Linked DNA regions of Arabidopsis thaliana. The protein of the gene in region 2 interacts with the protein of the main gene of each other region in a pairwise test. Each region holds a gene or a part of one and is shown on either strand. Other genes may lie near its edges.

Region 1 (4,837 bases), on a different chromosome or scaffold from region 2:
TGGGGTTTCACAACGCATATCACATGGCCTGTCCTCCAATTCCAAAATAAAGGAGACAACAACGTTTGTCTTCTCTTCCTCCCAAAAACACTCTCACCATTTTTGGCTTTTTTCACCTTATTATTATATAAATATCCGTTTTGGATTACAATGTGGATAAAAAAAGTTACATTAGAATTTGCCAGTGGTGAAGAAGAAGCCACAGTAGCCGACACTGATGCAATTGTTGGCAACCTGTTACTATATTATTCAATTGTGTTTGACCAAACAAATTATAAGAGAATATACTTTCTACATGAAAGCAAAGAAGATAACTTATATTATAAGATAAATGCTTTTTATAACCCTATAAATATGGCTAAGCCATGTGTTTTTCTTATGATATTGATTATTGAATTGAGTTGACTAGAGAACAACCAACAAAAATGACAGACTTAACACTTAAAAGAAAAAGAGAAAAAAGAGAAGAGTTCCATATTGTTTCATGATTGTTATGCTGGCTACTTGAACTTATACGGTTAAACCCAAAGATTAAAAAATAGAACTCAAAGAATCAAACTTGTAGCATGAGAATGATGTTCAATGGATAGTGACATTATTAAAACAATGAAGCGAGTTAAATGACTTTCAGACACAAAAAAAATAGATGGCTTCATCATCATCAACAATATAGATGAGTGTTTGGTGCCAATAGAATACATACCCAAGTCAGGTAAGTAGGTAACAGAGTTATTATGAAAGAATGAATGTTACAGAGATTGTGTAATATTCAGAACCATATTGATACATCTTGCTGCTGCTGCTGCTGCTGCTGCTGCTTCCCCATTCCTTCCATTGCTCCGGTTTGCCAATCATCTCTGTAATCGAATGCTGCCATATCGAATGGTGTCGAATCAAACACCATCTGGAACCGATTGTTAACCCCGTTGTTCGTCCCTTGTTGCATAAACATTTGATTGCCACTGTTGAAATTCAGCTGCTGATTCTGAGCTGCTTTTGCATCAATGACCATGCTTTGGTTTTCCATCAAAGTAGGAGGCGTTTGGTTGCTTTGGACATTTCTGTCGTACATGGCCATAAGCTCGGTGATCATCTTCTGCCCGTTTTCCGGAACTCCAACGCCCGATAGGTCGATCGGTTGGACTGGTTGCTGAGGAACTACTAGTTTCATTCCACCCATATGAAACTTGGATGCTCCATACGCTAAACGATTGTCTCTATATGGACAAACCATCTGGTGGTTGTCCCTTGAACTCCTGTCTTGAAATCCAAGATTCATTTTGCTGTGAGGACACTGACCATTCTCACAAGTGTAACCTGCTGATCTGTCCATTACCATAACATTCATATCATTGTTCTGCTTCCTCTTTCTCGTGAACTCTAAGTTTACCGTGGTGGCGACCTCCTCCTTTATGGGAAAATGTTGCATTTTAGCAACCCCAAAGCTTGCTAGAGGATGCATCATCACTATCTCTGGTTTCCGCTCTTCCACATCGAAACCATGTTGTTCCTTCTCGAAACCTTCAACGTCATACTCGCTACAATCATTAATGAGAAGCGACCCGCTTCCTAATGATGAAGAAGAAGAAAGAGGAGGGCATGACTCGGGATAAAGCTCCCGAGCCACAACCTCTTCTTGGTTAATAATGGCAAGCCAAGTAGCACTCTCTTTCGCCGTCATCTTATCCTGCAAGCATTTTGATTGCCTCACAAGCTTACGGATCTTCGCAATATCCGGCGACATATGCTTGATCACCGCAGTTAAAACACCGACTTTCCAAGCTTTCTTCAAATCATGAGGCTTCTTATAAGGAGGAGGACCTTGCTCATTTGGTAAACCAAGCTGAGGCCACCACTCTTCATTCCCATTAGGCCACCAAGGTGGAGAAACTCCTTTCTCCAAAGGAAACCGTCTCTGCGGTGGATCACAATGTTGCATCAAAGCCGATAAAAGCGAACCAAGAGTCGTGTCCTGAAGCTCCTGAAGCGTATGCGGTGTTGGACCAACCAAGCTGTTACAATCATTACTCCCTCCAGAAATATTATTCTCTGACTGATACTTAGCAATAGCAGCTGGACCATTACGATCAAACCTAACCTTATCTTTCCACCATTCCCTCAAATTATCCGAAGCACCAGTCACAGGCTTACCCTTCTCAGGAATAATACCATAAACAAAGCCTTGAGCTTTACAAACTTCCATCATCTTCAACATATACTTCAAGATCCCATCTTGGGCTCTAGACATTTTCTTCCTCCTAGCTTGCTCTTGCGACTGCCTCTGTTTCGAACCATCGACGCCTTCTTTACACTTACTCTGTTGCTCCTTGAGACGTTTCAAACGCATTTTGTCTCTCCACATCCTCTTCTCAAGCTCATCCACATCCATCTCATCATCGGTGTAGTCGACATCTTCAACTACAGGTTCTTGTTCAGCTTGTGGTAATGGACACACATCGAGAGATGTGGAGGAAGAGAAGAAATCCATGTTTCCATACATTCCCATCTCGTTAAACATCATCATGTCTCTTCCACCACAATCAAGAACAGAGCCTATCGATTTCTTTAACCTGAAAAAGAAAAAAAAACTTATAAGCTTTCTTTGATCAAACAAATCACCAGAAGCTAAAAACAACAAATCAAGCTTAAGGGTCAAAAACAAAAAAAAAAACTAAAGAGACTAAGAAGTAATGTTCTCATATCAATACATAGATTGTCAAAATGAATATTATAGACAATAAAACCAAACGATCTAGAAAGAACAGAGAGCCAAAAAAAATCGAAAGTATTATCAACAAAAAATAGAAACAATAATAAGATAAGAAAAGAGACAAAGAGTGTTTGCCTGAAAGAGTTGCAAATAAAGAACACCAAAAGTGGTATCTCTCTCTTGTTTTATAAAAGAAACAGATAAGGAAGTCTTGATGAATCCCCACAACTTCAGAGATGGAGAATAAGAAGAAAAGTCTGTTAAAGATCACATGGGAAGAAAGAAAGAGACATTAATTACTGTGTGGTGGTTTCTGGGTTTGTAGAGTTTGAAGATGAAAGAGAGAGAGAGAGAGAGAGAGACAAGAGGAAGAAGCAGATGCTTTGGTGGGGGGATTTAAAAGATTTAATAACGTCGCACCGTTTCAGTTTTTTCTCACTTTTTTCCAAAATATATAATAAATAAATGAGCATTGATTGACATTTTTAGGATCAAAATGAATGCAATATTCAGTCATAGTCGGTCCGGTCCACAACACAAGATGCGGTAATTGCAGTGTTTGGGAACCAGACCGGGCGTTCGGACCTGTTCTACCGGGATCGCCCGTCTAGTCCAATCCGAGTTGAGTCTACTGTTCACCGCTAAAAAACGCTAAAACTGATCAATATAAAAAAACGGGAATAACAAAATCTAAATCGGAAAAATATTACTAAAATTAAATTTATAGTAAATATTGATTTATATCTTTAAATTTCAACAAAACTAAATAGATATTAAATTTCTGTTGATTTTTCTAATAAATACTGAATATTCGTTGACAATGGCAATGGCTTGAAATGCTAATTAATAAAAATTTGACAACGACCAGATTACACGCATATATGATCCGCATGCAAAAGATGAACAACAACAAGCGCTAGAAAAGGATGAACGTTGTAGAGGTAATAATATGATAACATTAGATCCAAATAGCAAAAGCTCATTAGAATAGTTATGTTACTTTATAATTGGAGACAAAAATTTCACTTTGCTTTCAAAGCAGATTTAATATATAATTTTTGTCTCATATTGAAGGTACCATTGCTTTATAGGAACAATGTTGACGATTCCAGTTTCGGTTGCATCTGCTTAAAGAAGTTTTTCAAAGCTGAAGTTGATCAAATCGTATCTTCGGTCGACTATGTCACAAGAAAGATTGAGTGAGTTGGCTATATTATCAATCGAAAGAGAATTGGTTAGAGACATTGATTTTGAAAGCTTGGTTAACGATTTAGTGGAGAGGAAGGGTCAACAACTGTTTAAGAACTAATATTTAGTTTGTCAATTTTCTTTTTCTTACATGACAATGATGTTTATTTTTTGTAGACGATTTTTTTTTTCGTAAGGATATTTTATTTTTATTCGCTTCTGATACTTGATAGCGCTCGTACGACTCTGGAAACTCAATAGTATATATGAAGCTAAATACGCTCTATATACCACATTTGATGAATTTATGCCTTGAGTCAAGGCATAAAATTCATCTAATTTAGGGATTTTTTGCTTTGACGAAAGCATAGACGAAAGATATAACCTGAGAGAAGGCAACACTGATTCAGTCGAAGACAAGTGAAAACATTCTTCTATCAATACAAGATCGTAACATAAACGTGAACAAGCTCTACTAACTACGAATAATGATAATGGGCTCCATATTTAAGTTATATAGGCAAATGTTTTTGACTTTTGTAACAAAATCAAATTTATCTTCACTTTTCCTAACCTTCCTTTCGCCAACCTCCTCACCTGAGACATGAAGAAGAAACTCTCATGGATCTTAGAGTAAATACATAAATTTCACAGCTCGTCTCATCTTGTACATTGATTTATACATTGTCTCATATACCATCCCTTACACAGTATTAAACACCACTTGTACAGAGTTAAACACACCATCTTGTATACTATCTTTTACATAATCTCACATTATCTTGTACACGGCCTTGTACATCATCTTATACACCTCTGTTTATACCATCTCATACATCCCTTCACGCACACAGCCTAGTATATTATTTTGTACTGAACCATATGAATTATCCCATACACCGTCTTATACACTACCTCGTATACATTTTTGTAAATTGT
Region 2 (3,587 bases):
TAGAACCTCCAGGAGGATTGTGCAGAGGTGGATATTTTAAAGGATCAACTTTCAAAGCTTCAAGAGAAACATTTGTATGGAAACTAAATAAATCTCACTATGCTTGTTCATTACTTTATTCTTCTCTACTTTGTGTTTGTTTTTAGTGTTTGGCTTTGTGTGTTCTGTTCTGTTGTAGACAACTGCAGGGCAAGGGCTTGAATCCTCTGACCTTTAAAGAGCTGCAAAGCCTTGAGCAGCAACTATATCATGCATTGATTACTGTCAGAGAGCGAAAGGTAACTAGTAATATCACTCTTCCATCATCATTTCTCTTTGCATTGTCCTGATTATGGTTATCTGATTTCAGGAACGATTGCTGACTAACCAACTTGAAGAATCACGCCTCAAGGTAAACACTAGCTTTTCCTCTCTAGCTTCCAAATGTAAGCTTATGTGTAATCACATGATTCTGAACCTTGTTAAAACCAGTGGCTATCCTTTGACAAGCTCATGCTCTAACTAGCTAGTGTGCAGTTTATTTGTCTTAAGACTCCTATATAACTAGGTACAGAGTGCAAAAGTATAATTCGTTTCTTGATTAGCCATATATATACTTTGCAGGAACAACGAGCAGAGTTGGAAAACGAGACCTTGCGTAGACAGGTTCTTATTATTTTTGTTGAATCATCTCCTAATGAACGCTTCTTCCTCTGACTTGTAATTACTTGTTGAAACAGGTTCAAGAACTGAGGAGCTTTCTCCCGTCGTTCACCCACTATGTTCCATCCTACATCAAATGCTTTGCTATAGATCCAAAGAACGCTCTCATAAACCACGACAGTAAATGCAGCCTCCAGAACACCGATTCAGACACAACTTTGCAATTAGGGTATTGCTCTTTTAAGTCTATTTGCTGTCATTGGTTGCATTATTGGAAAGCTGATTTAAGATAAATATAAGTCTTTTTCCTCCTCTGTTAGTTATGCATATGCCTTAACACTCACTAACTGGAGTTATAAAATTCTTACTACTTGTGTTTTCTCCAAGGTTGCCGGGAGAGGCACATGATAGAAGGACGAATGAAGGAGAAAGAGAGAGCCCGTCAAGCGATTCAGTGACAACAAACACGAGCAGCGAAACTGCAGAAAGAGGGGATCAGTCTAGTTTAGCAAATTCTCCACCTGAAGCCAAAAGACAAAGGTTCTCTGTTTAGTCCTAGAAAAGTATGGGAGAAGGCTACTAATGTTTCCTCTTTAGCAAGTATCCGATTGTTTTAAAAGTAATTTTAGAGGGATACTTGCAAAAAGAAGAGAAGATTCAGTTATCTAATCTCTGCACCAACTCTCTTTGTCCTTCTTCTTTTGATTATTTCTCGACTGTCTCTCCTATAAAAAAGATATGCCTAGCTGAGAGTTTGAAATCCATAATCTTTACAAGGCACAGAGTTATTTGACATCTCGTATAGTAAGAAAATTTGCGGAGAAATAAGCTTATAGAAAGTGAAGGTTATCGGAATCTTCCTACTCCATTACAATCAAGGCCCAATTGGACCTCAAATCCTAAACTGAAAAAGTTTATAATGAATTTCATTAAATGCCCCTAAAATATAAGCAAAAGTTTCAATAAAGACCTCATATTTCTCTATAATTACAATTCGTCCCCAGATTAATAAAGCCCAAAGGCATTAGACCGAAAACCCTAACCCCTCTTTATCCGCGCGAGAGCAATTGAGCAGCCATGGTTTGCATCAGGCGAGCGACGGTGGATGATCTGCTGGCGATGCAAGCCTGCAATCTCATGTGTCTTCCTGAGAACTACCAGATGAAGTACTACCTCTACCATATCCTCTCATGGCCTCAGCTTCTCTACGTCGCCGAGGACTACAATGGTCGCATCGTTGGCTATGTCTTGGCTAAGATGGAGGAAGAGAGCAACGAGTGCCACGGCCACATCACTTCTCTCGCCGTTCTTCGTACCCATCGCAAGCTCGGTCTCGCCACTAAGCTCATGACCGCCGCTCAAGCTGCCATGGAACAGGTTACTCCTCTAATCTTCAAATTTCGTATATCTTTGCATTCAATTAAGCAGATTCATTGAATTGATATAGAGTTTCGTGTTGAATAATTGGATGATATAGAAGAATTTGTGTGGTTTGAGTTTATGTTGAAGATTGATATAATGGTGTAAGTTAAAGGATTTTATTGAAAGTTAGAAACTTTGTGTGTCAAAGTGATTGTTGCAATTGTCATTGGAATTTGAAGTAACTTAAGCTCTGTAGATTGTATAAAGAGATTAAGTTTTGTCTCCGGTCGTGTTATGCTTTTGACTGACGGAGACGAGTAGTTTCTGATTGCCTGTGAAACTAATAATAGCAGACCTCAAAGGTTGATAGTTGTTTTCACTCTCGAACTTGGACTTTTTAAATTCATTCTCGGTCGGGGTTTTGTGGCAGGTTTACGAGGCTGAGTATGTTTCGTTGCATGTGAGGAGAAGTAACCGAGCAGCATTCAATCTATACACTGAGACATTAGGCTACAAGATTAATGATGTAGAAGCAAAGTACTACGCCGATGGGGAGGATGCTTATGACATGCGGAAGAATCTCAAGGGGAAGCAGAACCATCACCACGCCCACGGTCATCATCATCACCATGGAGGAGGATGTTGTTCTGGTGATGCAAAAGTTGTAGAAACAGCTCAAGCCGTAGATGGTAAAGCAGTTTCCAAATGAGATTCGAAAGCAGATAATTATGAGTATATTGAGGTGGGTTCACTGGCTCGCTCTAGTACTTCTCACTATTTCCATTCATATGATTCCGAGTGACAAATACATTTGGTGACCACTCTGTGTTACTCCTTTGTCTTTCTTTGGTTGTATTGAAAATTTAGCCGTTCCTTTTTTTGATGTATCATTTTGGAAATTCCAAGCTTTCATTAAGGCTTTACAACTTAAGCTGGAAATCTTCTATTTGCAAGATAGCAGATCTCTATTGGCAATATAGTACATTTAATTACAAGAAAAATAATCTTGGCTTGTACAGTTTTCCCTTTCAACTTAAAGTTCCTGTGTTCTTTGTATTCGAATATTTTGAAGTACTAGTTTGTGCAGCGTCAAAGCTTTCCTGTAGCCATCTGATCTGGGAATTGAGACCAGCATCACGCAGAGCATTCAAAGCTGAGGAATAAAGCCTAGCATCAAGCCTGGTTCCTTCAACTTTCATGTCCTGCAACAGCCTCATTAGCTCATCAATCCTACTGGTTTTGGAGAATACACCGACCATGATTCCTGCCATGGCCCTATCAATCTTTCCTCTGTTCATCCTAAACTCCTGGTAAAGCTCCACACATCTCTCCAACTCTTTTGATCTGTTATATGCACTGATCATACTAGTGTAACTCACCTTGTCCGGCAACACCTTCGCCCTCTTCATCTCTTTCCATATCTTTTCAGCCCTCCTTAAGTCCATAGCCCTTCCATGCATATCAATCAAGGAATTGTAAATCCAAATGTTGGGTTTACACCCTCTTTGTTTCATCTTAGCCATGAGTCTCACTGCATCGCTTAGTCTCCGTGTTTTCCCATACATATCCATTATGTTTGAGTA

The links. The genes of interacting proteins can lie anywhere in the genome.
Region 1: the proteins of AT5G13780 (region 2) and EIL1 interact in a two-hybrid assay, tested with the Arabidopsis thaliana proteins (one large-scale study listed by BioGRID).

Annotation. Positions count from the first base shown.
Region 1 is NC_003071.7:11,544,001-11,548,837, reverse strand, and holds EIL1 (ETHYLENE-INSENSITIVE3-like 1), read right to left. Parts: upstream 3,183-4,837; 5' UTR 2,846-3,182; intron 2,571-2,845; 5' UTR 2,525-2,570; coding exon 770-2,524; 3' UTR 545-769; downstream 1-544. UniProt on the Arabidopsis thaliana protein: Probable transcription factor acting as a positive regulator in the ethylene response pathway. Could bind the primary ethylene response element present in the ETHYLENE-RESPONSE-FACTOR1 promoter.
Region 2 is NC_003076.8:4,446,736-4,450,322, reverse strand, and holds AT5G13780 (Acyl-CoA N-acyltransferases (NAT) superfamily protein), read left to right. Parts: upstream 1-1,647; 5' UTR 1,648-1,719; coding exon 1,720-2,019; intron 2,020-2,434; coding exon 2,435-2,713; 3' UTR 2,714-3,032; downstream 3,033-3,587. Other genes in the region: AGL15 (AGAMOUS-like 15), read left to right, coding at 4-74, 179-278, 350-391, 604-645, 720-871, 1,030-1,195; AT5G13770 (Pentatricopeptide repeat (PPR-like) superfamily protein), read right to left, coding at 3,033-3,587. UniProt on the Arabidopsis thaliana protein: Catalytic subunit of the NatA N-alpha-acetyltransferase complex. Required for male gametocyte development, embryogenesis, suspensor development and the formation of the quiescent center (QC) in the root meristem.